3 linked regions of the Caenorhabditis elegans genome follow. The protein of the gene in region 2 purifies or fractionates together with the protein of the main gene of each other region. This does not show direct contact. Each region holds a gene or a part of one and is shown on either strand. Other genes may lie near its edges. The genes, in order: gst-7, aldo-2 and Y22D7AL.10.

What was found.
Region 1: the proteins of aldo-2 (region 2) and gst-7 fractionate together in Caenorhabditis elegans (co-fractionation; one large-scale study listed by BioGRID). This does not show direct contact.
Region 3: the proteins of aldo-2 (region 2) and Y22D7AL.10 fractionate together in Caenorhabditis elegans (co-fractionation; one large-scale study listed by BioGRID). This does not show direct contact.

Annotation. Positions count from the first base shown.
Region 1 is NC_003280.10:4,876,803-4,886,819, forward strand, and holds gst-7 (putative glutathione S-transferase 7), read left to right. Parts: upstream 1-5,289; 5' UTR 5,290-5,316; coding exon 5,317-5,449; intron 5,450-6,001; coding exon 6,002-6,489; 3' UTR 6,490-6,556; downstream 6,557-10,017. Other genes in the region: gst-6 (putative glutathione S-transferase 6), read left to right, coding at 3,114-3,246, 3,696-4,183; gst-8 (putative glutathione S-transferase 8), read left to right, coding at 6,952-7,084, 7,261-7,748; R05F9.7 (Serpentine Receptor, class E (Epsilon)), read left to right, coding at 9,474-9,810.
Region 2 is NC_003281.10:5,872,433-5,882,767, reverse strand, and holds aldo-2 (Fructose-bisphosphate aldolase 2), read left to right. Parts: upstream 1-6,297; 5' UTR 6,298-6,446; coding exon 6,447-6,488; intron 6,489-6,547; coding exon 6,548-6,629; intron 6,630-6,966; coding exon 6,967-7,718; intron 7,719-7,769; coding exon 7,770-7,994; 3' UTR 7,995-8,090; downstream 8,091-10,335. Other genes in the region: F01F1.14 (uncharacterized protein), read left to right, coding at 25-78, 123-337; hpo-10 (SAC3/GANP/THP3 conserved domain-containing protein), read right to left, coding at 596-826, 878-1,339, 1,394-1,537, 1,584-1,715, 1,839-2,220, 2,290-2,789, 2,839-2,923, 3,153-3,157; F01F1.2 (COX assembly mitochondrial protein), read right to left, coding at 3,552-3,693, 3,739-3,832, 3,904-4,008, 4,065-4,209; mig-21 (Abnormal cell migration protein 21), read left to right, coding at 4,516-4,680, 4,730-4,974, 5,019-5,137, 5,194-5,292, 5,435-5,748; F01F1.3 (MIF4G domain-containing protein), read right to left, coding at 8,166-8,324, 8,368-8,514, 8,564-8,678, 9,199-9,326, 9,375-9,502, 9,644-9,713.
Region 3 is NC_003281.10:1,610,241-1,620,575, reverse strand, and holds Y22D7AL.10 (10 kDa heat shock protein, mitochondrial), read left to right. Parts: upstream 1-1,646; 5' UTR 1,647-1,653; coding exon 1,654-1,680; intron 1,681-1,732; coding exon 1,733-1,846; intron 1,847-2,185; coding exon 2,186-2,305; intron 2,306-3,135; coding exon 3,136-3,201; 3' UTR 3,202-3,425; downstream 3,426-10,335. Other genes in the region: hsp-60 (Chaperonin homolog Hsp-60, mitochondrial), read right to left, coding at 213-521, 671-817; Y22D7AL.9 (Tetratricopeptide repeat protein 7B), read left to right, coding at 6,550-7,045, 7,534-7,695, 8,301-8,407, 9,028-9,354, 9,759-10,123.

The sequences.
Region 1 (10,017 bases), on a different chromosome or scaffold from region 2:
GGGATTATGTTTAAAACTCAAAAAATACAGAAGAACGAAATGGCATAATAAAATACATACGTTTTAGATTCTTGAAAATTTCCAGTTAAAGTTTTGGAAAGTTTTTAGTCACAGTTTTGGTTAATAAATCAATTAACCAACACTTTGTGCTCACTGAAAAATTTAAAGCAATTTTACATGCTTTAACACCTACAGTTTACTAATCCAAGTAATTCGAAAAAAATTAGAGTATATGTACAACTCGTAGAAAAACTAGTTTTTTTAATAGGCTTCCAAACTTATGAGTGGTGACATTGAGTAATCTAGACTTTATCACTGCAAATAGAAAATTAATTGTTTATTTTAGAACCATTGGAATGATTTTCTACAAGTTCCGGCTCTTCTCCCCTTTGAAACTTTGCGGTTTCGCATAAGGCGGTGCTCGTACGTATTTCGGTCTAGATTGATCTCGCTATAAAATAGTTGACGAACTTTAGATTGAAGTATATTTATTTTTGCATTTTTTATTCAATTGGCATTTTTTCTAAAACATAATTTTTATGACAAGAAAAACTTGGAAATATTCCAGGCAATTCAGACAATAGCTCAATCGGACCCTTTTTTGAAATTTTGTACCTCCATAATAAACTTTAGCGAACAACTGGAGCTTCTAAATTTTCAGATAAAAATTTCCACATTCGCAGAAATCGGGCGTTGAAAAAAGTTACAGATTCCGGAAGATCAAGAAGTCAGTACTAGTTCCTTACTATTTTAAACATTTCTAGTAAATAGTATCTCTATTCCAACTTGCTAGAAACTGAAATCATAATTTTTAACAATCAAAATGTTGTCTTTTGCAGATCCGAATACGTGTAATGTTCAATTACAACATTCGTTAAGTGTCTAGATATTTCAGAAATATCTGTACACAAACCTGAAAGGTTGCCAAAAATTGCCAAAAGTAGTGCCAGCTTGTAATTTTTCGGAGAATTCAAGACAAGCTTAAACTATATATCAAGGCTAACTAACTAACCCAACGAGTAGGTGTTTTGTTTAAAATTTTCAATATGGGTTTTTACAAAAACTAGCCTAAATTCTTTGTCGATATAAAAACAGGATAGATACTAAAAAATATGTTATATTTCAAGTGGGCACAACTGTAAAAATTGACACTAACTTCCCATTAATTATTCAAAAATTCTCCTCATTTTTCATTCTGCCAATGAAAAGCGATATCAATCAAGCCGCAAATAACCGTTTTCTCAAAAAAGAACCATAACCAATGACAGGGCTTTCTTCATCTTCTTCTTTCATCATTCTTCCATTTTCCAACGTTTCCTGAAAACGAGAGACGTGAGAAACTTGCTAATAAACTGCTGCCTGTTGTGGTGTGGTACTTGGTGAGGTCTCTCGTCCGTCCGACGATGAAAAACGAAAAAGTGATGGAAAAAGAGAGAAAAGGATTGAAAATGAAAATGAGTGAGACAGAAATGGAATGAGAATAAAAAGTTAATGATATCTGAAAACAAGGTATAGTCATACCAGCAAGAGTAAATTTCCAAAAAAATAGTTTCACAAAAATGTGAATGTTCACTTTTTTGCTATATTCACGATAATAACAATTAATCAAAAATTCTACTAATATCGCAGATTTGAAAAAATTGAATTGCAAAACGGATAAACTTGCCAGCAAAAGTGGAAGCCTCGGTGGTCAACTTAATTTTCTAAACCCACTAAATTGCGTAACTTCAAGCTGCCGTATCTGGAAAAATACAAGTCTTGAGCAAAAATTGCTAACTAACAAAATGATTCAAAATATTTTTACTTTTATTTGCATTACTTTTCACTGCAAAAAACTAATTATTTGCAGAGTTGCACAGAGAATTTTTAGGTCGTTTCAGAGAAGAAATCACTTAAAATGAACATGAAATTCGTAAATAGCGTGTTCTCAGCTTTCTAAAAATATTTTTTTCGACCCAAAAATCGCAATTTCATTTTTCCGCTCATTTTTCGAAAAGCAAAAGTCCCATTTCTTATTTTGGAGCGGAGGACGATTTTGGAGATGAGCCCACATTTTTGAAAGATTTTCTAGGACATTGTAGAAACCTCAAAAAAATGATCATTTTTCAAAATTTCAAGTCGATACGTTGGATATGAAGATTTTTATGACGGAGATTGGATTTTTTCAGAAAACGGTCTATAACTTGGCGGAACATGAAAATATCGAAAAACTTAAAACGGATAAAATGTGGAGAAATATTTTTCACTTACTACTTAACAAAATTTATCTTTTGAAATTCAATGAATATTGAGTTATAAAGGGTACAACAAAAGAGTTCTCAAATTTTTCTTTGAATTTTGGAAAAATGGCTTTGACTCTGTGTAACTCTACAAAAAGTTGTTGATATACAAATTAATGTAATAGAAAGAACAAATGTTTCTGATCATTTTGTTAGTTAAAAATTGTTTTTCAGACTTGTATTTTTCGAGATACGCCAGTTTGAAGATGCTCAGTTTAGCGATTTTAGGAAGTTATTTGGTCCGTTGAGTGTGATGTATACCAAGATTGGAACTTTGAAAATATGAAAGTATAGGAAAAGAAATGCAACTCTAAGGCACTTCAGGTGTGAGCGGCAAATGTTTTTTTACGGCAAAAAAACGGGAAACCGGCAATAACGGTAAACCGGCATTTTGCCGGAAATCAGAAATTACCAAAATTTCAGAATTTCAATTTTAATCGGCGAAATTGTACGCATCCTATAAATGTTCCTAAATCTATTTTAATAAGTAAGCAATTATGTGTTTTTTTCTTAATTTCAGGTCTTTCCAAAAAAGAAATTATCAAGAATTGACATGATATCAAGAAGTAACAGACTGTATATTCCCCATAAAGCTTTAAAATTAATTATCCTCTCAAAGCCTTTTTGATTTCTGAAATCACGGTTGATCATACTATAGTCAATCTTGAAAGTGATCCGAAAAACGCTGTGCTCTCAAGTTTTGGTTTTGTCATCAAATATCTTCAGTCATATATTGAAAAGTAAATAATGATAGTAGAGCACACAAAAAATGATAAGAATAACCCAGTATTTGATGATAATTCACATTCATTTTGTAGGAAAAAATTTCACGAAATGGTTCACTACAAGCTCGTCTACTTCCCATTAAGAGCCCGTGCTGAAATTGCTCGACAAATCTTTGCCTATGCAGGACAGGATTATTCCGAGGAGAATCTGAGCTTTGAACAATGGCCAGCACGCAAAAATAGTGAGTTTATACACTTTTGGCAAAGATAAATGGTTTCAAAACTTGAAAACTACGTTTCATACATTTCGGTATTTGTTTATTTTTTAAATTGTAGATAATTGCAAACAAAAGTTCTCTAACTTTTCACATCCGAACTAGAACAGTATTCCATGATTCAATACTTTAAAAAAATCACTTTGCAAATTGGGATTATGCTTCTGATTGTTTTTTTTATTTCCTGATTTAGGGTGATCAGTCAGAAGTTCAGAAAAAAGGTTGTAGGTACGAGGAAAACTTGATGCTTGAAACTTTTTATGGAATTGTGCTTTCTGACAACATCTTGGACACTGTGGAAAAGTCGCTCCTGGAGATCGAACTAATCCGAAAAATTTTCTAAGACCTTCATACTTTTTTAAAATTAAGATTAGATTTTATTTTAAAACACTTCTCCTCAAATTTCAAATTTCTAGACACTCCATTCGGTCAATTGCCAATTTTGGAAGTCGATGGAAAACCATTGGGACAGTCATATGCAATTGCTCGGTACTTGGCCAGAGAGTTCGGAATTGCTGGACAAAATGACACCGAGGCGGCAGAAGTGGATGCAATTGCTGATCAATTCAAGGATTATCTCAACGATGTCTCCCCATATTTAACAGTTCTTGCTGGATTCAAACCTGGAGACAAGGATCAACTGAGAACTGATGTTTTTGTTCCAGCTTTCAAAAAGAATTTCGAGTTTTTCGAGAACATTCTGGCATCTAATCACAGTGGTTTCTTTGTTGGAAACTCTTTGACATGGGTGGATCTTTTGATTTCGCAGCACGTTCAAGATATTTTGGATAAAGATTTGGCAGTTGTTGAGGAGTTCAAGAAGGTTTTGGCACATCGTAAGAAGGTTCAGAGCATCGACAGAATTCAGAAGTATATTGCAAACCGTCCAGATTACCCATTCTAAATTGAAATGAGTTTGCAATTTTGTATTATTTTTTAATTCATATTTCAAGAAGCAATTTTTTGCTAATTTGTTTTAATGGAAATCGATGTTTCTAAAATATCTTGAATGAATTGTTCTTTTAAAAATTTTATGGTAAAGTTTTCAGCAGGATGTTTCTATAGAAGCTTTTTGCATTGCAAGAGTGTTGAAATATACAGGATATTTACAAAAGCCTGGGAAGTAGGCATGCTTTTAGGTACAAATCAGACCTACACCGCCTTCCTTTGTGGTTTACCATCATAGCTAAAACTTTCCGAACATTCCCTGGTGAGACACAATGTTCAAAGCACAAAACCAATCACGTCATAATGTTAATTTGACTTTTATTGTCAAAAATTACAAAAGCGTCGTTTTCTGGAACATGAACATAATAAGAATTTTCAAATTTCGGTGGGCACAATAAATATGTAATCTTTTATTTATTTTTGGAGGATAGTCTTTTCAAAGGCAGGTGTATAACCCTCAAAAGAAAGCACGTTTGTGTTTCAAAGTGAGACTTAAATTATTTCAAAGACAAATTCCATAGGAAATCATTGTTCATCAGGCACCTTCCCAGAAATTAGGCTGTAGGCAGGCACGTAGGCTGCGGTAAATGCCTACGCCTCTTTTGCGCGAGATTATGAAATTGTGTTGTACTGTCGGAAAAATTTCAGAAACAAAAAAAAATATTTTTTGTGACTTTTTGTGTCAGTTATAGTAGTTTCTTATCATGGTATCTTCAATAATAATGGCAAGCGTAACAAGATGATTGATGCCATGGGTTTATATTTGTGAGTAGTCACAAATTGTGACACAACATTCCCTTCGAAAGATCTGGAAAAGTCACAAAACCTTGCATATATTTTTTTCAACCAATATTATTTTGACCTACTCTGTTCATCGTAACATTGCAACAACAAAAAACGATGACTACACTTTATGATTTCTAGTCAACAACGTGCGCGCAATGTGTAGAGCAAATGATGACAAACTACAGAATATGGTGAGTGGAGAGACGACAGACATTTGAGAAATGGGTATAAATAGAGACGGCCGGCATTCAGTGTTCAACCCTTCTCATCGACCACTCGATTTCTTGCTTGGTTATTTCAACAATGGTCCACTACAAGGTATCGTACTTCCCAATTCGTGGAGCTGGAGAGATTGCTCGTCAGATCTTGGCCTACGCTGGACAAGACTTCGAGGACAACAGAATCCCAAAGGAGGAATGGCCAGCTGTCAAGCCAAGTGAGTTTGGGATTGAAAATTATTGTTTGAATAGGTGCATAGATATTGAAATTGTTAGTTGAAATCTTATAAGTAGTTCCAAATTAAAAATTCATTTTAGAAATAGTTGCAGGCTTTTAGTTAAGCTGTCTTTGGTTTTATCAAAAAAATTTTGACTGACAAAATACGTGAAGAATATACTTTTAAATATTGTCAGTTAAACATTTTTTGATAAAAGTTAAGAGAACCGAGATGTAAGCCGTTAAAGTAGCAGGTACGGTATATTCCTTACCTTTCCTGTTCCTATTAACTAGGTCACACAAATTGCCTTTTTGCCTTTAGAGTAGATTGAAGTTGTTATTGAGTTACTTTTTGAAAGTTATTGAAATTTCGGTGTTCGAATGAATAGACCTTGAAAAAGGAAAAAAAAATTCAAGGCTAAACTCTAGGCAGTTTGACACCTAGAGATGTAAACAAAGTGCTTGGTATGACTGAGAGATAGAAGTTTGGAGTCAATGATTGTTTACTCAAAGAAAACTTTGAACTTTAGGTTTTAATTATATTATTTTTCAGGCACTCCATTCGGACAGCTTCCACTCCTTGAAGTTGACGGAAAGGTTCTTGCCCAATCTCATGCTATCGCCCGTTACTTGGCTCGTCAGTTCGGAATCAATGGAAAGTGTGCATGGGAGGAGGCTCAAGTCAACTCGGTTGCTGATCAATTCAAGGATTACCTCAACGAAGTTCGTCCATACTTCATGGTGAAGATGGGATTTGCTGAAGGAGATCTCGATGCTCTTGCCAAGGACGTCTTCCTTCCAGGATTCAAGAAGCACTATGGATTCTTTGCTAACTTCCTCAAGTCGGCTGGATCCGGATACTTGGTTGGAGACTCTTTGACCTTTGTCGACTTGCTCGTCGCTCAGCACACTGCTGATCTTCTGGCTGCCAACGCAGCTCTTCTCGATGAATTCCCACAATTCAAGGCTCATCAGGAAAAGGTTCACTCGAATGCCAACATCAAGAAGTGGTTGGAGACTCGTCCAGTTACTCCATTCTAAATGATTTCCAAATTCACATGGTCTCTTTATGTATTTTTGTATTGATATGGGATAAATGATTGCATTGAAATCTATTTATTCTGAAAAGTTCTCTAAAAAATAAGATAGCAGAAGCAACCGATATATTTGTTCAGACATCCGAATCATCATGAAAAGGCACTTTTTGAACTGAGTTGTCAGTAACATCTGCGCAGTGGGAAGAGTAAATGATGACAAACTTTAAAGTTTCCAATATACTCTTTATTTTAATGTACATTTATCTAATTCAACCAGTTCATTGAAACAGACATAACGCCAAACTATATTTGTGGTTTGTTGTCAGCAGAGTGCGATCAAAGCAGTGATGACTTAACAGTACACACACACTTAGAGAATATGAGTATAAATAGAAACTTCTTGGTTTTTATTTCAAACTGTATCACAGACTTGTACTCCCCAATTACTTGAAAAGTGGTAGTAATAATGGTCCACTACAAGCTATCATATTTCCCCATCCGTGGAGCTGGAGAGGTTATTCGACAGATATTTGTATATGCTGGACAAAGCTTTGAGGATCATAGAATTTCAATAGAGGAATGGGCAGCTGTCAAACCAAGTGAGTTTAAGCTATTTAACAATAAGTTCAATTCAATTGATCAGATGTTTTTTTAGTTGTCATTGGCTTCATCAAAAAAACATATAAAAGAGACGAGAAACATAGTTTTTCCTCAAACATTCTATTTGTAATTTTTGAAGTTTCTGAAGTTCAAGCAGCTTAACAATGACTTTCAGCCACCCCATTCGGGCAACTTCCACTTCTAGAGGTCGATGGAAAGGTTCTTCCACAATCTCATTCTATCGCTCGCTTTTTGGCTCGTCAATTCGGAATCAATGGAAAGTGTGCATGGGAGGAGGCTCAAGTCAACTCGATCGCTGATCAGTTCAAAGATTATCGCAACGAAGTTCGTCCATATGTGATGGTGAAGATGGGATTTGCTGAAGGAGATCTTGATGCTCTTTCCAAGGATGTCTTTCTTCCAGGATTCAAGAAGCACTACGGATTCATTTATAATTTCCTTAAAACTGCAGGATCCGGTTACTTGGTTGGAGACTCGCTGACGTTTGTGGATTTGCTCATTGCTCAGCACACTGCGGATATATTGAGTACTGATCCAGCTCTTCTCGAAGAATTCCCACAATTTAAGGCGCATCAGGAGAAGGTTCATTCAAATGCCAATATCAAGAAGTGGTTGGAAACTCGTCCAGAGACTCAATTCTAAATAATCGTTCAATTCTAGTTTTGAAATTGAATAAACTACAATGAAAATATAATTCATAGACAAAAATTGATTGAATTTTAGTTGAGTAATCATTTGGTTTTTTGGAAAACTGAGTAATGTAAAATTGCGGCAGAAGGGAGAATTAAATTTAGATATGACAAGACTCAAGCGTGGGAAATGATTATTAACTTTCGATCAAACCTTTTTGTAGTTATGTCAATGATCGTTCAGAATTGTTTTTGAACTGTTTACCTTATCTCTGTCGATTTATTCTGAAAAGGGATCAATTCTGTTTTGCACACTAAAGTGAAAAAGTTTTTCGTTGTCAATTAGTACGTTCCTGAAAGGCTTTCAAAAATGAAAAGCTAGCAAATTTCTAATTTTTGCACAAGTTGAACAAAATGTGTTCTGTTCAATAGTCGGTACACATTCCTCGAAAATTATTCTAGGAAAAAATACCAATTTTGCAGCTGCTTTATATAATCAATTAAATTAATATCACATTTTTTGAAACATATTCCGACACATCGAGCCCAAGTTTCACTTGCAAATCAAAATTTGTTCGTTGAGCTGTGAAAGGACATACTCCATGGCAGGGACAATTGATTGAATTAACCGAACAAAAAATAAGTAACATGACAAATTGTGGGGTTAGCCTAGTACGTGTATTTCTCGCGACTCTGAAATAATTGCCGATTTGCTTTTGAGATCACAAAGTTTTACGTTTTTCTTTCTAGTGTAGTTGTTCATTTTCACCTGTTTTGAGTGGGAATGATAAATAAATGACAGACCTGGTTTTAGAGAATCACGTTTTAAAACTGTCCCTTTAAAATTATTAAAGTTGTTACCACTTTCATTTGAAATCTTTGAGTCACTTTCGTTTGGTGGCACAATTTACAGTGTTAACGGATTTTTTTCCGTTTACCTATTTTTGGTAAGTTTCAGCATTTGAGCTATGTTTCGCATTGCGTTCAGTGGTATTTTATATAAGTTAAACTAACAGTACACTTGGTGACTCTAATTATGAAAGTCGTGATCGTTGGAGATTCTTCTCCATCGTATTCGCGACAAGCTACATTTTTAAGAAATTTCCCTCATTGATGATACTCCTTCTGTAATGCAATGAATAAACCCGTATCAAAATGTAATGAATATTTTATGTCTGTTTTTTAAGGTTTTAAACAAAATGGTATTCCTTCAAAATTTTCAACGTACACTGTTTGAATATAACTATATAGAGAAAACCTATTAGCCTAGAGCTGTCTTTTCCGTTTCTTTTGGTAACCCCATTTTTCTGAAGTTAACTATTCAAATATTTAAAAGTATCTGTGCAACACTTAGTAAAAAAATACTAGGGCATCTTGAATTTTAACGAATAAAAAAGGTTTTCAAAGTTAAAAAATTACTGATATTCTAATGAATACATTTTGATTTTATATGTTCTATTTGTATTGACCAACACTGCAACTAATGTGCTAACACTTCCTGTTCTCTGAGTTTTTTTTTCATAACTCACGCCTCCATGTCACCGCTGTTTTGGCGAACATTCTTTAAAATTCGATTACAAGTGATCATTCGTTTCTATAGATATTCACATCAAACTTTATAATCTAAAAGCGTTTTCTGAACCCGATCAATTACTCCACCTGCATATATAATTTCATGCTTACTCTTACTACTCCTTATTTTTAGAAAACATTTTCCTTATTTTGAGTTAAAGATAAAATGCACATTATCCAGGAATTTCTTGCCAAAATTCTCTCACTACTTGCTGAGCCAATTCCATTGGTGGAGGGCCAATGGCTCAATATCACATTTGATGTGCCAATTTTAGTGGATATAAATGCTCCATTGACGCCAACACTACAGTTTATTTATGCATCTGAAAGTATTTTGATTTGTGTTGGAATGTTTCTAATGGTTTATTTCAATTATTTTGTGAAAAGTTTCCAAATTGTACATTTGAATTTACAATATCTATTTTTGCTCTTCACGACTTTATATATTTTTGGAAGTCTGGCCAGATTCTACATGATTTTGGTTCAATTAAAGTTTGTCACAGGTTTGTAAAAAAACTTTCGTCTCATATGCTTTCTGGTAAGATTTAACTTGTTCTGAAAGAGGTTTACACTTATTTGACTGAAAAACGACAAGATAAACATTGGCAAATCACACATTTTCTGAAAAATCTGAAATTTCCAAAATTTATAATAGTTACATTTTAAAATGGAATTTTGAAAACACGACTCATATCATTGGTGTTAGCGAT
Region 2 (10,335 bases):
CAAAATGATCAACTTCTTTTCCAGCATTCTTCGTCATGATTAATGTAGTTGTTACACTTCCGCTCATTGGAATTCGAGGTATTTAAATTGAAATTGTATTGTTAAATTCTTGAAATTTCTAGATGATCTCTCAACCGAATTCGTTGGTATTGGCCTCCGTGACGATGTGGCACTTCCCATACAAAAGCGCCGAGTTTCTCAAGAATCCCAATTCTGTGCTACACATCGAGAATCATATGATACCTACTGCAACAACTTTTGGACAGATCGTCCACAACGACTTCAAACCGCTTTGTTCACATTTTGCCCTGGATATGAAAACAAATGCCTTCACTAATTACTATTTTACATTTTTATTCTTAACACGCATGACTGCCTGAAAATCTCAGTTTCAACAATGGAAAACATATTTTACGGTTACAAAAACAAATAAATGTTATAGAGCTCTATTCTAATTTTGCATTTTTAAACATTTTACCAGCAACACAATTAAAAAAGTGGATATCAACAGTTAGTTGGCTACCGAAGAAGTATCACACAAGGATCGGGACGAGGGGATTGAGAATGGGATGAAATTGTTAAAACAAAAAATTATTCAAATGTTTCTTGGGATTTTTGGATCAAATGTTCCTCCAACTTCGACATCAGTCCATTTCAGTTCCTCCTCGAGCCAATCAATAAGTGTCGACTCCTTCATACTCAGAAACTCCGCAATCAATTTGTACGTGATTGTTGGTCGGAAAGCTTTTGTGATAATTCCGAGTGCCTTCTTTCTCTCTCGATCAACAAATAAATCCATTATGTACGGGCACATTCGTGGAGCATTCTGCAAATTGGAATTTATAAAGAGTTAAAAATTGTCAAATTCACAACTTGCCTTAAAAAGCCTGAAGAACTTGACATAATTATTCATAGTCACAGCTTTTCGAACATTCAATGCAAATTCAACACAGTCATTCTCCTTCAATTCCGGCGTTAGCTCACGGAGCAGCGCGTTGATATCAATTTGATTGTCCATAGCAATGTAGTACAACAGACGATAAGCTACAAACTCTGCCTGATTCGCGCAATTCTCAATTTCCGAGTAGAGAAGTTTCAACTGCGACTGGCACTTGTTAAACTCTTCTCGATCCGCGTTTTCAAGCGAAATTCTAGCATTTATTTCATAGACTTCGACTGTAAACTCGTTGCGAATCACTTGAACCGTCAAGTCTTGGCGAATCGATCTCATTTGACTTGTCAGATAGGAATACTCTGCTCTCGCACGATATTTGTCACGTACATTTTGAAGAGAAAGGCGCAAAACTTCCAGTGGCCGAACCTCCGATGGATTTGGAGCCTGGAATAAGCTTGGGTTTAATGATGCTGAAAAATGAAACCTATATAAACTTACAGCTGTCAATCTGAAGAAGGATTTCTCAATATTCTGGCAAGTTCCACGAATCACTTGTCCTCGTCTGAAATAGTGCTGAGGCACACTCACAGATGGCTTCGAAACATTGTACAAAGTTTCGGCAAAACGACGAGCACGATCTTCCTGTAAATACTTCGAGAAAATGAAAAATTCAGTTAATCCAACTTACCCTCCGAGCCTCAGTATCCCCTCCAGCTACCTTCCAAGCATTCTTGACTTTTTGCGGAGTTTGTTGTTTCTGCAGTTTCTTAGCCGCCTTTCTCGCTGCCTTTTCAGCCTTTTTCTGAGCCTTTGTCTTTTTCTGAATGGAATTAGTCACATTTAGTAATTTTAAAGATCTATTATAAGTATGAATTTCAGCAGAACTACTCAAGTTTCCGTGCCCAAATACACCACCCAGTTCCCTATCTAATTTTATCGAAACCTGATTCATAGAAGAAAAGTGCATTTTCTCAAGGGGATCGCTATTGTCAGAATCAGAAGATGCCCCATCACTATCCCGACGAGCCCGTTTCATTTGTCCTCCACCACCAGCGGCACCGCTGTTAGACATTTCATCACTACGCCGTCGCGATGGCGACTTTTTTCTATTAAATCCATTAGCCTGATGTGGAAGCTTATTAGCTGGCGTCCACGCTGGAGCTAGCTCATAATTTTTCTCGTGGGGCAACGGTTCATTGTCCCAGTTGACCATGTGAGCATTGCCTGCGTTCAACATAGGGAAAAGTCTCTTCTGAAGGTATTCTTGAGTTTTTTGACGATCTTCGACAGTGTTCGCCGCCTCGAAAGCACGTTCCATGTACCGTCTGAAAAAATAGAATGTTGAATAATTTTGCAACAATAAAAACAAAGATGATAATTAATTGAAAACTTACTGGGCTGATGGAGGTGGTGGCTTGGCTGGTCCTGGAGCTGGAACACCGCGTCCTCTACCAACTCCCATCAATGGCTGTGGACCTCCGCCCTGCGGTACGAACGTGCTAGTTAGATGCGGAAATGCGGACGAATTATTCTTTCTGTTCAAGGCAAATGGCTGAAACTGCTGAGGTCTCTGTTGCTGATTCCAGTTGTTGGCTCCTCCGCCACGCCCTCTTCCGTACCCGTTATTCCAATTCTGTGGTGGTGGTGGTGGTGCATAATTAAAAGATGCTTGGTTATAAGCTGCTTGAGCAGTTGCATTCACCGCCGACTGTTGTGGTGGTGGTGGTGGGACAATCGGTCCGCTGCCCCACGTGGATGGATGAAAACCACCACCGAATTGACCGTAAGCGGATGGGGGATTTGGGAACGAAAACGAGTTGTTCATCCAAGAGTTCTGACCTGTATTGTTGTTACCATTCGATGCATTCAGTCCTTTCGACATTCCACCTTGAATCTGAAATATTACAAATTGAAACAACTGTTCATATGAAATATTTACAAACCTTCATTAATGCTTCATTCGCTTTTTTCCAAGCTTCGGAATTTGCTCCTGTCTCCATTGGCACTGGAATTGACATAACTTCTTCTCTGTAAAGAAAAAGAAGAACTGAAGGAGATTAGGAAAAATCAATAATATTCGACAAAAAAAGTTCACGTCGAAAAGTTAATTCCAAATTAGCATTTATTTAGTACTTTAGTTTGAAAAAATGGTGCTGCCTACTTTTTTAAATAGCAACTATTTAATTTTTAGTTATTTTTGTGCGAAACATATCGACTTCGAACATCACATTCAGAATTAAAAAAGAAAATAACGAACCCCATATCTGAAATAGAACAGACAGAAATAACTATTTAGCAGAAAATTTTCAATTTTGCGTACAACGTTAAAAGAGTAAAATCAATAAAGTTTAACGGACCAGCGTTTTCGTAGTTTACTGGCAACTAAACAGAGCGCGTATCGATTTTCAACGGAGCGTCGTTGCACTATTATATTCTCTGGCAAAAATAAAATGTAAAGTGAAAGAATAATTCATGAATTAACGAGTTTTTGGAAATAATATTTTTAGAATGAAGAAATGGTAAGAATATGAGATAATATATAGTGACTCGAACACTTGACAATAATAACTATAAAAAGTATAAAAACCAGAAGAAATGGATTGTATTTGATTCTACAAACAAGGAAACAATTAACTATGAAAAACAAGAAAGAATTCTACTTTTGCTCATTTGTCTTCTTCCAATCCCGAAACTCTTCAATTTTCCGTTGCTGCGATGTCATTCCAGTAGCTCGAGCTGCCGATCGTTCCGCAATGTACTCGTCAGTCATTTTTGCTCGGAAGGCTGGATCGTGGAATCTTAATATGTTCTTGTTATTTTGAGATACATTAAAATAACCAGACTTTTCATATTTGCATCGATTAAAGAGTTCTAGAGCTGGTTTACACGTGTTCAAGCCAGAAACAGCACCGTCGGTTCGAAAGCAAGTGATGAGTCCTGAAATTGTTGTAGAAATAGAACTCTATATAATCGTGCTTTTATTTTTATGATTTCAATAATTCACAAACCTAAATAAGATTCGTTGCAATCCACTCTTTCGATTTGGGTATTCATTCTATTCGGAATAATCACATCTGCCTCGATTTTCCTCAAAGTCCGATCTTCTGGATCACCTGAAAACAAATATTGTATTTAAATGGTAAAAACCGCAAGCTGATTTAAAAATTACCTAATCCATGTGGTCCTCCAGCTGAATAATGTGGCATAATATTTTTCTTGACACGATATTTCTTCCCGGTCTTCTCGTCTGTCACAATTTCGCCTTCCTTTAAGGTTTCCAGGTTATCAGTGATATTCACTTTATTTTCCGTCATTCTAGCTGTAAATTTGAAAATTTATAAATGGAAATTTCAAGAGAAATCATGAGATTTACTAGTTTTAAAAGTTAAAATGATAGCGCCCGAGAAACAAAAAAAAAAGATCTTTGCCGTCTCTTATCTCTCACGCGTAGCAATGGAGCGCGACTCTAACACTGCAAAAAGTGAAATTTTCTACAGTAACCCTGCCATCTGGCGACATCTGAAAGATGGAAAAGGAGAAGGAATGTCGAAATCTGAAAAGAGAAACAAACATGGGTGTAGAAATTTCACTTATTCAGTAAGAACTGAGTTTCATAGAAAATGATTGTCATGGTTTTGTTTAATATCTTCGTTTTCGTCAATTTCTCATATTCGTTGGCTAATTTAAATGATTCTAGCATTTTATATTCTCAAGTTGTCTCTAATAAGTGTGCATCTAATAATGGTATATTCTGTGAATGTTCGAAACAAGGCGGAGAAATTAAGGTTCTACATTCAAAAAGATAAAAACCAATTCAATAAAATTTTGATGCAGATTTGGAATTGCATCCGTCCAGGAGGTTGGTCAACGTGGTCAAAATGGTCGAAATGTAGAGAAGGTATCCGAAAAAGAAGACGAACGTGTAATAATCCTTTACCAATTGGTACCACTTGTTCTGGCCAGAAAGTTGAGAAGCAATCTTGTGCAATTTCTTCAAATGTACCGGAGTATCTTTTTGGATCCTGGACATCCTGGAATCCATGGTCTCGATGCGATTGTGATCGTAGCCTGAGGATACGGTAGGTTCAAACAATTGGGAAATGTACAGTAACCCAAGTTTCAGAACTCGGCACTGCAAAGGTAATTCCTGCGAGGGATGTGACAAGGATTACGAAGATTGCCGCCCAGATGAGTGTCCAATTAGTAAAAAATGGTCCGAATGGACAGATTGGGTGAATTATGGTATGGGTCTCATTACGCTGAAATATATCAACAAATTTGTAATGATTTAATTTCAGGAATTGAGCAAGTACGGTTTTCAGCCTGGTGTTCGTCATCAAACGTGGCGAATACTGAAGTGGGAATACGGAAGGAGACTCAAGACTCAATGAAGCATGGTATTAATTTTAGTTAAAAAATTTCGAAGAACCATAACTTGAAGACTAAATTTGAAAGTTTCAAAGTACAATGTCCACTTTACTGTCTAAATTTTTGTGTTAGTTAACAACATGATAAAAAATTAATGAGAATAATTTCCAGCCAACTGGTCTGAATGGCATATGCATCCAGGAGTTGCATACCGTTATCGTCTTCTTCACAACTCTTCTATTTCCATCGAACACCATCTCTTATCAAGATTCACGTCATCATGTCTTCCCTTGCATTTTGCAATTCCAATATTTTGTTTTTGTATTCTCACGGGTTTCCTTCTTCAAAATATTATTTATTGTGTTGTGAATCGTTTTAAAAGGAGATTCATAAGATTGAATTATTCGTATGATTCAAATCCACGTGACTATCCTTCTCATTTGATTCGTTCTCCGGGTTCCCCGAAAGATGAAAGTTTTTGGTGAATTTCGGATGCTTTCGAGAACAGTCTCTGTCTGCCCATTTCTCACGCCACGATAATAAAAGTTATCATTGATCTGTACAACGAATACTCTGAGTGAGGTGTTTTTAATTCTTATCACTTCAACTCTTCAGTTTTAAGACTGAAATTCTAAAGAAAAAACATCAGAATTAATTATACTTTTAAAGAGAGGCGTACTTTCGCAAATGGGTCTCGCAGCGCAAGCCAACGACTAACAACGACAATACCGCACATTTAAATTCAATTTTAGGATTCATTTTTTCATTTCCAAATTTTTCGGTTTTTTCTATAAGAAAACAGCCGAAAACTTAAGAAAATAATTCCTGCACAATTGTGAAAAATTGTTTTTAAAAAATTGTGCACAATTTTATTAATTAAAAAAAAATTTTTGTGTAGTTTTTTTAAGGGATTTATCTACTTTATCTATAGATTAATTTGCCGAATTGACATACTCTTTAAAAATAGGCCTCAAAACTTTCTATCTCGGAATTTTTCGATCATCCTAAAGTAGTACAAGAATATCACGTTTCAGTTCTCTGCGCGCCAACAATATTTGGCGCCGCCCGTTCGCCGTCTCCCGTTTTTGCGCACACTCTCGGCGACTGTACTGATTCTCTACACTCTCCGCCTCCCCATTTTCTCGACCGTCCATTTCATTTCGCATCACTTCTATTTTTCACGATGGCAACTGTCGGAGGCGCTTTCAAGGACTCTCTTACCCAGGTTTGTTGATCATTCATCATTTTGTAATGCCCTTCTTAGTTTAATTGTTGTATTTCTAGGCTCAAAAAGACGAGCTTCACCAAATCGCTCTCAAAATTGTTCAAGATGGAAAGGGAATCCTCGCCGCCGATGAATCCACTGGTGAGCTATTGGAAAAATTCTTCTAGAACTAGAAAATCGAGATTCTTATCTTCTCACAATCATCTTTTGACAATTTTTCTATTCAATAAGAATTAGCGACTTATGTTCAGAAGTTCAAAAAATAAATTTTCACGGTCTAGCGATCATATTCTGTGCCCTCTATCGCCTCCAATTTTCGATGTTTATGTTGTTGAAATTGGAGATGTTGATGCATTGATAGTGCGAGTGATAGATAAAATTGTAGATAGAAAGAAAGATAACATGTAGAAATGATATTGGGGAAGACCGATTTCTTCTTTTTTATAATGCAGCACATCGTGACCCGATCAATTTGCAGGCACAATCGGAAAGCGTCTTGATGCCATCAACCTCGAAAACAACGAGACAAATCGTCAGAAGTATCGTCAACTCCTGTTCACTACTCCAAATCTCAACCAGCACATCTCCGGAGTGATTCTCTACGAGGAGACATTCCATCAAAGCACCGATAAGGGAGAGAAGTTCACCGATCTTCTCATCAAGCAAGGAATCGTCCCAGGAATCAAGCTCGATCTCGGAGTTGTCCCATTGGCTGGAACCATTGGAGAGGGAACCACCCAGGGGCTCGACAAGCTTGCCGAACGTGCCGCTGCTTTCAAGAAGGGAGGATGTGGATTCGCCAAATGGCGTTGTGTTCTCAACATCGGAACTCACACCCCATCTCACCTCGGAATGCTCGAGAACGCCAATGTGCTAGCCAGATACGCTTCTATCTGCCAGGCCAACGGACTTGTTCCAATTGTCGAGCCAGAGGTTCTCTGCGACGGAGAACATGATTTGGCTCGTGCCCAGAAGGTTACTGAGCAAGTTCTTGCCTTTGTGTACAAGGCTCTTGCTGATCATCACGTGTATCTCGAAGGAACTCTTCTCAAGCCAAACATGGTTACTCCAGGACAATCGAGCGCGTCGAAAGCTTCACACGAGGCAATTGGATTGGCTACCGTAACCGCCTTGAGACGCGGAGTTCCAGCTGCAGTTCCAGGAATCACTTTCCTGTCTGGAGGGCAATCCGAACTTGATGCCACTGCTAACCTCAATGCTATTAACTCGGTAAATTTAAACGAAATGGAATAACCTTATATCACTCATTTCTATTTACAGGTTCAACTCGGAAAGCCATGGAAGCTCACCTTCTCTTATGGACGTGCTCTTCAAGCTTCTGTGCTCAAGGCATGGGGCGGAAAAGACGAGAACATCGCTGCCGCTCAGAAGACACTCCTTCACCGTTCCAAGGCCAATGGAGATGCATCTCTCGGAAAGTACGCCGGAGAAGACGCAGCTGGAGCCGCCGCCGAGTCTCTCTTCGTTGCCAAGCATTCCTATTAAGCGATGACGCATAACTTCCTGTGAATAGATTTTTCGCAACCTCGTCCCCAAGATTGTATAATTTCACTGACCCCGAAATGAAGTTTTATTTCACCGAAATTTTATATTTTATGAAACCCGAAAACTAAAAATCACCAAAAGTGGGAATATTAAGGATCTACTTCAATATATTCAAACAATGCTCTCTTTGCTTCCGAACTCTTGCTTGCTGATATCATTCTTCCGAAGTGGTGTCTGATCAACAATCGATAGCTTCCCTTCTGCACTCAAAGTGAGAAGACATTCAGGAATATTCAGCTCACTCCATCCAAATGCCCAAAGATCATACACCTAAAATCAAATAATCAATTGATCATTCTCTGATCTTCCTCACATGAATGAATATTTGACGGACATGTTTAGTGACAATTGGATCTTCACTGATAAGTTTATGACGCAATTTTACAATGATTCGTTCGACGAGATATGAATTCAAATCGTGAAGAACGCGACCATTCTCGCTGAGAAGTATCCCGGCTGTCTGAAATTAAAAAATTCTAGATTTTTCAGAAAAATGTTTCTGTGGAAACCTCTAGATCTTCGGTATCTGGAGCATCATCAATAAGTGCATCCAAAGATGAGAACATTGGTTTTATGAAGCATTTTGACACACATTCGTCCATTTTCACATATACTGGATACATTCTGAACGGATATTTCAATATGAATTCATCGAATTTCAACTACTAATTTTACTGTTGGAAAATTCCAGTTCTCGCGTTTTTTTTCTATATTCTTTGCAAGCAAATACTTACGATTCATGTGAGAAAAATAAGGTCCCTGGTTTCGCCACGACAAGCTTATGTTAACTAAAAAGAGGTGTGCGCCTTTAAAGAGTACTGTAGTTTCAAAATCTTAAATAGTTTTCCTCACGATTTGTTAAAATGTATTTATGTATTTCTATTTTTTTTATTTTGAGTTTTTAATAAATACACATATTTTTTTCGGGAAACTATGAAAAATCAATAAAAATTCATCAGAGCTCTGCAGTGTTGAGTTTTTGAAACTAAAGTACTCTTTAAAGGCACACACCCTTTCTCATTCAACAATACCTCAACATGATATATCATATGATATCAAAATTGCGTGTCTGACTACAAGAAACATTCGAAAATTGGAATAAAACGATAGTTTCTTTCGAAAAAAAAAATTGGAAATTGCTTACGAAAAAAGTGTCTTCACACAATTCCTGAACATAAGTCGAGAATCGTTTCGAACTGAAAGCCGGTTACGGTAGTCGTTGAGTAGTAGAGCCAACACATTTGAGGATAATGAAATGTCTTTTGGATCGGACTGGAATTTTAATTTGTGGTTTTTGAGGTTACCGTAGTACAGAACTACCTTATGGATGTGCATTAGTATATTTGCAGCAACTGGTCCAAAGCGTCCATCCGAAAGCCATCGGAGCCTCATGTGTTCGGCGAGAACTTCTGTAGAATGTTGACCAGCAAGCATACTGTAGGCTTGCACTGAAACTCGAATTTTTAAAATTGTGGGTCCCGCGACGATCCACATCACTTTTCACTAAATAACGGGATCAAGGCGTGAGCAGGCACATTTGCCTGATTCTACATACAAAGAACGATTTCGAATTTTCTTAAATAGCTCACCTGGAATTGGTCCTTGTTGTGTGAGAGTTGCAAGAGATGCAAATAGGCTCCGTAGTTTATCATCGTTCATTTCGTGATTATTGATTTAAAAAAAATGTCTGAAAATTTTCAATTTCTGAAATTTCCGATTAACTTAATAATTCTCAAATATTGCCGAGTTAGCCAATTTTTTTTAATTGACGATCAGGGTTCTAGAGCAAGCGAAATATTTCAGCTACAGTACCCGCGAGTACTGTAGAATTTCATTCTTCTTACAGAAAGTTGTTTCCTATTTGACAGTTTTCATATTTCCTGATATATAATAAGACTTCTCAGTAATTTAAGTTTTTCTAACAAGTTTTCAAAAAATTGTGGGAACTGGTTGAATACTTACAGATACTGTATACTAAAATTTTTAGCTCGTGTCAGGACCCAAAAAACTAATTTTTTCTACTAAAAATTGTACAAAATAACCGGGTCAAATCGAAAGACGAATGGCTCGAGCTGAATGACGCAAGAGATTTGAAAATGAGGTGAAAAGTGTCACCAGAGACAATTGGGTGCTTCATGCTCAACTTTCAAGATTTTTTATCTCTTTCGAAAATGCATGATGGCAAAGTTCAGAAGGCAGAGCAAGCAGCATCACACACTCAAAAAATGAAAAACAGAGGAAAAGTGACGGCTGTTTCGAATTACACAACACATGTGGCGAA
Region 3 (10,335 bases), 4.3 Mb from region 2:
GAATTGGGAAAAAATGACGGTTTTTTGAAGATTTTGAATTCCTGGCAACTGATTTTAGCCACAAATTCGCGATTTTCAAGCAGATTTGAGCGAAATTCTAGTTTTTCCTCTAACATCAAATGAAAATCGCTTCAAAATTGGGTCAAAAATCCCAATTTTTCCAAAAATCACTGTGGCTTTTGAATTTAAATCCACAATTTCCCGGTATTAACCTTCTTGGAGATCTTCTTGAGCTCTGCAACGACGACTTCGACGGCGTTCATGACTCCACGACGGATCTCGACAGCGTTTCCGCCTTGACGAATGCTCTCGAATCCCTCTTTGGCGATGGCTCTGGCGAGAACTGTGGCGCAGGTGGTTCCGTCTCCAGCCTCCTCATTAGCCTTGTTGGCGACATCTTGAATGAGCTTGGCTCCCAGGTTCTGGTATTTGTCCTTGAGGTCGATGGATTTCGCGACGGTGACTCCGTCCTTTGTGATCTTTGGGCTTCCCCACGACTGCTCGATGATCACGTTTCTTCCCTGAAAGAGTTTGGAGTTTTAGAGGCTGTATTTATGAAGAAAAAAAAATTAAATTTTGCATTAAACCGGAAGTTTTGTGTATAAAAATACGTTAAAATAGATTTTTTTACAGCATTTTTTCCTCAATTTTCACATCAAAATCCCCGTACTTTTGGGCCCATAGTGACAGAGACGGCGTCGGCGAGCAGGTTGACTCCGACGAGCATGGCCTGTCGTCCTTCGGCTCCGAACTTGACGTCCTTGGCGTAAGATCTGACGACGGCGGTCTGAAGTCCCTTTCTGGCGAGGCGAAGCATCTTTTGTGTCTGAAAAACTACGAAAATTGTGTGAAAATCTGCAGCGGAAAGGCGAAAATGCGAGCAAAATCAGAGTTTCTCATCGAAAATGAAGCGAGAAGCCTTGCATTATCGTCTGAGAAGCAGAAAAGGAGTGAAAAATAACGAGAATGGATGAGAAATCGGCTGGGAAAACGGTAAAACAGATATTTCCCCTAATTTAGACGATAAATGGCCTATAAATAAGCATTTTTCAATCGTTTTTTATGAAAATGAAGCGAGAAGCCTTGCATTATCGTCTGGGAAGCAGGTAATGACTGAAAAATACAGGAATAAATGAGAAAATAGCTGGGAAAACTGTAGAATAGTTTTTTCCCCTAATTTCGACGAAAAATGGCCCAAAAATAAGCATTTTTCAATGGTTTCTGATGAAAATAGAAGCAAAAAACCTCAATTTTTCGTTCAAAATATGAAAAATGAGAGAAAAATAACGAAAATGACGCAAATTTTGATGTAAAATGGCTAATTTACATCAGAATAGACTTTTGCATCATTTCACTCGCTCCGCCCAGTTTTGCAAGGTGCGCACACTTTTCTAGGTGGAGCTGAGCGCGCTGATTGGCTGAATTTGCGGCGCGGTGTCTGCCATTGGCCCGACACGCCTAGATTTGCAAGTTTGCCGCACGAGATTTTTCGCGCCGCACATTTATTTTCTGCTTTTTTTCTCGAAGCTTCTTTTGGTTTTTTGATCATTTTCTGAATTTTCGCGGGTTTCTTCGGGTTTTTTCGTTGTTTTCATGTAATTTCCCGCTAAAAATAAATTTTAAAACTCAAAAAACCAATTTTTCAGCCGAAAAATGTTCCTCACCGCTGTCCGCCGATCGGTAAGCTATTTTCCCGGTGTTTTCTCCGAATTAAACGCGTATTTTTTTGCAGAGCAATGTCCTCAAGACCTTCAAGCCACTCTATGATCGTGTGCTCGTCGAGAGAGTCGCCGCCGAGACCAAGACAAAGGGAGGAATCATGCTCCCGGAGAAGTCACAGGGAAAAGTGAGCAATTTTTGGCCTAAAAATTGATTTTTCAGGTGAAAACTGATAAATTTCAACGTCTTGGAGCAGATTTCTAGCACAAAAATGCCAATTTCACCGTCAAAATGGTGCAACTTGGCGTCTAAAACACAGTTTCTAGCTAAAAACCTTCAATTTTATACGAAAAATGTTAATTTTCACCGAAAATTCCGTAAAGTCTGGTGTAATGATGCAATTATCGATTTTCCCTGCCAACACGCTCTCCGACTGCTCGCGGAGGTTTTTGTCCAATTTTTATCCGAAATTACCGAATTTTCACTCAAATTAAAGCAATTTCCACCTAATTTTCGAATATTTCAGGTCCTTGAAGCCACCGTCGTCTCTGCCGGAGCCGGACTTCGCAACGAGAAGGGAGAGCTCGTCGCATTGACTGTGAAGCCAGGAGATCGTGTCCTTCTCCCAGAATACGGAGGCACCAAGGTACAAAATGCGACGAATTTCGAGCGAAAATATGGATTAATTGGCGAATTTTTAATGTGAAAATCTGAATTTCCGTTGAAATTTCACACAATTTGGACGAAAATCGGGATTTTTTTTAACATTTCAGTGTAAAAGTAGCGTTATATTACTGAAAAGTCATTGAAATCAACGAAAATTGCACAAAAATTGTGTTTTTTCAGCCGAAATCCAAGATTTTTTCAGAAAAATCAGGAAAAATTGTATTAAAATACGATTTTTCCCCCAAAAACTGAATATCACGCGCTTTTCGCTCTAAATTATTGGGGAAATACCTTTAATATAGTACATTTACGCTAAAACCCAACGAAAATTGCACAAAATTTGCCGATTTTCACCGGAAATCTAGCATTTTCTCTGTAAAAATTCATTTTTATGAACGAATTTCGAGAAAAACTGAATTAAAGTACGATTTTTACGCCAAAAAACTGAATTTCATGGGTTTTTCGCTCTAAATTATTAGGAAAAAACCTGAAAATCAGTTTATTTTCGCTGAAAATCCACAAAAAGTGCCGATTTTCACCGGAAATCTAGCATTTTCTTTGAAAAAATCCCAAATTTCCTTCGTTTTTTAAGGAAAAACTAGGTTAAAATATGATTTTTACGCCAAAAAAACTGAATTTCAGGCGGTAAAATGTCAGTTTTTTCCAGTGAAATATAGTTTTAGGCCAAAATTTTGACAAAATACCTGAAAATTAATTAATTTTTTGCTTACAGACCGCGAAAATTGCGCAAAAACATATTTTTTCGACCGATTTTCGCAGGAAATCCCAACAATTTTTCCCCAATTTCAGGTCGTCGTCGAGGACAAGGAATACTCAATCTTCCGCGAGTCTGATCTTCTCGGAGTCTTCCATTAAATTATCTTCCATATGGCTTTCGGTCTCACAAATCTTCATTCAATTATTCCCCTCTCTCTCTCTCTCTGTTTATTTAATTTTTTAATTTCAATTTTTTGAGTTTAGATTTTAGGAAATTCCTCTTTTTTGTTGAAAAAATCGATTGTTATAGTTCCTTTTTTCCTTGATTTTTCGCCGGTATTGTTTTTCTTTTTTTTCGATTTTAAATAATGATTTTTCAGATTTTTCTTGTTCTCTGGCCACAGACAATGTTTTCGATGTGACAGGGCGAACCGAGAAAAGCTCAATGTGGCTTGGAGAACCGGAAAAAACAAACGGCGTACTTAAAAGACACGGCAGTGGTCGAACCTTTTCAAGCTCTGAGCTATTTTTTAACCGTTTTTAAATATTTTTAGCGCTTTTCTGCAATTTTTTGAAAAATTTTGAATTGCCGCCAATTTAATTTGTTCGATGGAGCGCGCTTGCATTATTTTACTGATTTTTTTTCGGTTTTTTGGAAATTGAATTTCCCGTCAAAAAGATCCAAAAATAAACTAAAATGATGCAAGCGCGCTCCATCGAACATCTTGAACTCTTGGCGGTAATTCGAATTGGAACGCAAACTGAGGATTTTCCTTCCAATTTTCAACAAAAAAAAACATTTTTTTTGGGGTACGGTAGCTTCAAAAGAACGCAAACACCGCAGTGCTTACGACAAAATGCAGAATTTCTCAATTTTTTGTAAAAATCACATGCCTATGGGTAAAATGAGGTGCTGAATCTGAATTTGTTAGTTAAAATTCATAAAACTAAAGTTGAAATGTCAAAAAATGAGTTTTTATGACTTTATCGTCAGGAAAATTGTATTAAAATTCATTTTTGCAGATTTTCATGTAAAAATTTGAAATCTTCGTGACATTTCACCCTAGAAAAACCTTTTTGTGAGTTTGCAGTGCAAATATTGAACATTTTGGGGTACGGTAGCTTCAAAAGTACGCAAACACCGCAGTTTTTACGACAAAATGCAGAATTTCTCACTTTTTTGTAAAAACCATGTGCCTAGGGGTAAAATGGGGTGCTGAATCTGAATTTGTTAGTTAAAAGTCTTGAAACTGAAGTTGAAAAGTCAAAAAATGAGTTTTTATGCTTTATCCTCAGGAAAACTGAATTAAAATTCATTTTTGCTGATTTTTATGTCAAAGTTCGAAATCCTCGTTAAATTTCACCCATAAAACCTTTTTTGTGAGTTCTCAGCGCAAGAATTAATGTTGCTGATTTTCATGTAGAAATTCAAATTTATCGATAAATTTCACCTTGGTAACCATTATTTTGAGTTTGCAGTAAAAAATGCGGGAGTTGAGACGCAGATTCACATTTTTCTGGGCGAAAAATTCCCGCATTTTTTGTAGATCAAACCGTAATGGGACAGCTTGGCGCCAACATTCCTAGTTCCAAGGTGGCCAATTATTGGAAATTTTCAGCTATCCCACTGCCATCGGCTTGATTTCTTCTGGAAAGCTTGACCTCTCTGGACTATATCCAAAGCCTATTACAAGCTCAAATTGCCGATTTGCCGGAAATTTTCAATTCCGGCAAATCGCCGGTTTGCCGATTTTAGAGGAAAATTTCAATTCCGGCAATTTGCCCATTTGCATATTTGCCAGAATTTTTCAATTCCGCCAGTTTGCCGATTTTCCGGAAATTTTCAATTCCGGCAAATTGTCGATTTGCCGGAAATTTTCAATTCCGGCAAATCGCCGGTTTGCCGATTTTAGAGGAAATTTTCAATTCCGGCAATTTGCCGATTTGCATATTTGCCAGAATTTTTCAATTCCGCCAGTTTGCCGATTTGCCGGAAATTTTCAATTCCGGCAAATCGCCGGTTTGCCGATTTTAGAGGAAATTTTCAATTCCGGCAATTTGCCGATTTGCATATTTGCCAGAATTTTTCAATTCCGCCAGTTTGCCGATTTTCCGGAAATTTTCAATTCCGGCAAATCGCCGGTTTGCCGATTTTAGAGGAAATTTTCAATTCCGGCAATTTGCCCATTTGCATATTTGCCAGAATTTTTCAATTCCGCCAGTTTGCCGATTTTCCGGAAATTTTCAATTCCGGCAAATCGCCGGTTTGCCGATTTTAGAGGAAATTTTCAATTCCGGCAATTTGCCGATTTGCCGGAAATTTTCAATTCCGGCAATTTGCTGATTTGCCGGAAATTTTCAATTCCGGCAAATTGTCGATTTGCCGGAAATTTTCAAAAATTTTGAAAAATAAGTTTTTTGGAAAAAAATTATTTGAAAAAAATTTTTTTTGAAATTTTTTTTTTCAAAATTTCAAAAAATTTCAAAAAATTTTCAAAACCCCTCATTTTCTTTTTCAAGAATTTTTCAAGGAAAAGGTTGTCTGGAGCAAATAAAATCAAATTATATTTTTAAAAAAAATATTAAAAATCTGAAAGTTAATTTTTTTATTTTTTTTTATTACTGAGAAATTCGATTTCTAATAAAAAAACATCGATTATTTATTGATTTCTGCAAAGATTGAAGTTTATTTCTGAAAAAAATCAATATCAGTTATTATGAATTTGCGAAAACAAATCGATTATTTATTTTTTGAAAAAAATTTTTTTTTAAATATTTTTTTTTATCCTTACTGAAAACTCTGATAATTAGTGATAATGCGTAATACTTTGTAACACATAAAAGCTGTTAATTCTCCCAGACTGCCGTAAACCCCCATAAATCCCGCAAGACCCCCCAAGGTCGCATCAACTTTCGCTCACCGATTTCGGGAATGAAGGCGCTGATGTCAATTCTCTTTTATATAATTGCTTCATTTTCCTATTTCGAATGTTGTGTTCGTCTTTAGTTTTCTCATCAGTTTTGTATCGATTTTTCGTTTTTCTAATAGAATTTTTTAAGGGGATTTTTTTTTTGCAGTCTGGCCTAAAAAATTAAACGTTAAACATTTTAAATTAAACATTTTTTGAATTTACTTCCTCATCAGCTTCAATTTGACACCTATATTGGCTATTTTTGAAATTTTCCGAAAAATAAAAAAAAAAAAATTTTTCAAAGTTTTTTTTTCATACTTTTAAATATTGTCGAGTGGGCGGAGAGCTTGGCGATAAATGTTTTAAACTAAAATTTTTAATTTTTCCACTTCATAAGCTTCAATTTGACACCCATATTGGCTATTTTTCAGCAAATTTGAAAATTTTTGGTCTCGCCACGAAAATGTCGGTTTTTATTTAGGCTTCGGGTTAGGCTTAGGCCCAGGCTTAGGCTTATGCTAACTCTTATGAATTTCTGAAAAAACCGGTTTTTTCAAACAAAAATTTTCAAAATTCCCATTTTTTCAGCGCTTTTATGAACGAAAACTTGGAGAAAGTGGTTCACGAGGCGGGCTCCGCCTACTCAGACGGGCGGTACCAAGAAGCACGAGAACTCTACGAAAAAGCGTTGCGAGACCACCCGAAAAACGGAATCCTACACGCAAATCTGTCGGCGATTCTTCTCAAAATTCAACTGCCCCCGGAAGCTCTGAAACATGCTGAAATTTCAGTGAAATTGTGTCCACAATGGGCAAAAGCCTATTACCGGCAGGGAGAGGCTCAGCGGGCTCTCGGATTTTTGAAAAAATCAATATATTCGTATTGTAACGGAATTCGGCTGGATCCTGCCGGGTTTCAGTTGCTGAAAAGTTTGAAATTATCGATTTTCGATCACTTTCCGATGTTTCCGTGGGAAAATCTGAAGGTTTTGGAACTGGATGAACATGTGCCAACGATTTTGTCTACGCTGGGACAAACTATGCTCTTAGAGATGGAGAAGCAAAAAATCAATAATTCGGTAGAAGTTGAAGGTGATTTTATTGATTTTTAGAGAAAGTTGGAGCAAGCTTATGCGCCGGCGGCGGCGTACACTGAATCGCGCCGCCTGCCTGCGCTAGCCAATTTTACCGCCGTCGGCGATAACCATTTTGGCCACCGCCGGCGATAATCATTTTGGCCGCCCGCTGCGGGCGCGAACTATTTTTACCGCCGGCGGAGCGTACTATTTTGGTCGCCGCCGGCGCTAACCATTTTTGCGACCGTCGGCACTAACCATTTTTCCCGCCGCCGGCCGCGGTCGGCAGGTTTGCAACACATTCGATGATTATCGATTTTTCAATGGAAAAGTGTTTTCGCCTGCAAAATTTAAAGAAAATCGATATTTTTCTCCGAAAATCAATAAATCGATAACTAATGTTATCGCCCCTATAGGGAAATTATCTTTCATTAACAAAATTTTAAAAAAATCAATTTTTAACGTTTTCCGCAAAAATCGATGACTTATCGATTTTATTTTCAGAAGCAATTCAAGTCTTAAAATGGTCGTTGGACCTGAATCTGGAATCAGTGAAGCTCCAGGAATCAGCATTTGGAGCACTTGCATCCGCCTATTGCTCCATTCAAAAATACGAGGACGCGCTGTTTTTCACCCAAAAACAACTGGAAATTGCGATGAAAATGGGTGATTTTGAAATTTTTTCAATTTTTCAATAAGAAATTCGGATTCTACGTCTTTTTTACACCTAGATAATTTTTTCCCGGGTTTCTAGCTCAATTTTGAACATTTATGGGGTACTGTAGCTCCGAAAGTACGCAAACACCGAACATTTTACGACAAAATGCAGAATTTCTCAAATTTTTGCAAAAACCATATGCCTAGGGGTAAAATGGGGTGCTGAATCCGAATTCATTAGTGACAATTCTTAAAACTGAAGTTGAAAGTTCAAAAAATGAGATTTTGGGACTTTATTACAGGAAAATTATGCTAAAACTCTTTTTTTCCGATTTTAGTGTAGAAATTTGTATTTTTCTCAGTTTTTACACCTGGATAAATTTTTTCCGGGTTTCTAGAACAGTTTTGAAAATTTCTGGGATACTGTAGCTCCGAAAGTACGCAAACACCGAACACCTTACGACAAAATGCAGAATTTCTCAAAATTTTGCGGAAAAAGCGATTTAGGGGTAAATTAACGATTCTGAAGCCGAATTTTTAACTGAAATTTAATAAAAATTGACTTTTACACCATTTTTCTGCAATTTTCAAACTGAAAAATGTTAAACTTTCAGACACCCCATCAATTTCAATAATTCGAGAGAACCTGGCAACTATTGCGGAGCTCTGTGAGAATTTTCAAGTGGCAATTGAACAGAGAAGGATTTTATCGAGAAATGGGGTGAGTTTTACTATAATATTCAGAAAAATCATGAAAATTAAAATTTTTGTGGGAAAAGTTCAATTTTCGAGAATTTTTATTACGAAATTCGTATTCAGGCGGTCATTTTACCCCTGTCTAGCTTTTTTTCGGGAAAATTTTGAAAAATTCTGCATTTTGTCGTAAACACTGCGGTGTTTGCGCACTTTCGAAGGTACAGTACCCCGAAATGTTAAATATTTGCACTGAAAAGTCACAAAAAAAGCTGCCGGGGCAAAATTTAACGAGGAATTCAAATTTCTACATGAAAATCCGAAAAACTAAATTTTAAGACAATTTTCCTGACAATAAATTCATAAAAACTCACTTTTTGACTTTTCAACTTCAGTTTTATAAATTTTAACCAACAAATTCGGATTCAGCACCTTATTTTACCCCTAGGCACATGGTTTTTGCAAAAATTTGAGAAATTCTGCATTTTGTCGTCAGCTATTTGGTGTTTGCGTACTTTCGAAAGTACAGTACCCCGAAATTTTCAAAATTGGAGTGAGAAGCTCAAAAAAAAACTTTCCCGGTGTAAAAAATGACGGAGAACTCGAATTTGATAACGAACTTTCACGAAAATCAATATTTTTTTTCAGAATATGCCGGAAATCCTGAAACTTTGTGGCCTCTACCTGAAAACCGGCGCCCCGGAGCAGATTTTCACGGTCCTAAACTTCAAAATTCCACCTGAAACCTCAGAATTTCACGTAGAAATCTGTCAGCTCATAGGAAAAGCCCATCATCTCCAAGGAGATCAAAAAATGGCTCTGCGGACGCTAATTCCGCTGTCGAGAAACCCGAAAAATCAAAATTTCGAGTTAATCGATACAATTAACAAGTGTATGCTGGAATTGGAGGATTTGAATTCATCAATTGAATTTTTGAATCAAATCATTCGAGAAAATGTCGAAAGTTTGGATTTGGTGGGTCTTTTTGGCGCGAAAATTGGGAAAATTTGAATTTTATCGATTTTTTGGATTTTTTATTTGGAAATTATTGATTTTTCTAAAAAATCCACTTTAATTTCAAAAAACTATTCAAAATTGGCAAAAATTACTATTTTATCAGTGGAGCGCACTTGCTCCGACAGCTAGAAATCGATTTCCGAGAATTATCGATTTTTCGGTGTTTTTTTCAGAATTTTATAATTTTTGGGACAATTATGAATTATTAACTCTCAATATACGTTAAAAATTTGCAAATTTCAACTGATTATCAATGGAGCGCACATGCCTCTTGCCGCCAAAGACAAAAGCCCGCGAAATTCAAAATTTCCGCCGGGTTTATCGATTTTTCTTAATTTTTCTAGCAAAAATCAATATTTCAGATGCTCCACTGTTACTGTCTGCTGTGCCAAACACAAATAATCGCCGGAAATCTGGAAACTGCGCTGAAAATCGCGAAATTCGTACTGAAAACTGCGAAAAATCAGGAAAATTCTAAAAACTCAGAATTTCCGGCTGAAATTTCTGTGCACAAAGCCAACGCATTCCGGCTTCTTGCCATCATTTATGAGCACCAAAAAGACACAGGCTCCGCCCACGTTTTGTGGAAGAAATACGTGGATTTGGGGGTTTTGACGCCGTTGGAGAAGCTTAATGGGCTTCTGCAAATTGCTCGAATTGCACAGCTGGAAGGAATTATGGATGATGTTGAAGCAGTTTTTGAACGTGCTCAGGGAATATGTGATCGGTGGGGGTCTTTGGGAATTTTCAAAATTTTGAAAAAAAAATTCCAAAAAAAAATTGTTTTTTTTTTAAATTTTTTTTGAAATTTTCTTTTTGAAAATGAGTAAAAGTTAAAAGTTTCATGTTTTTTCGGGGAAAAACACAAATTTCAATCAAAATTCGCGAGAAAATATCGATTTTTCCTCCAGTTTCAATGCAAGCGCGCTCTACCGAACA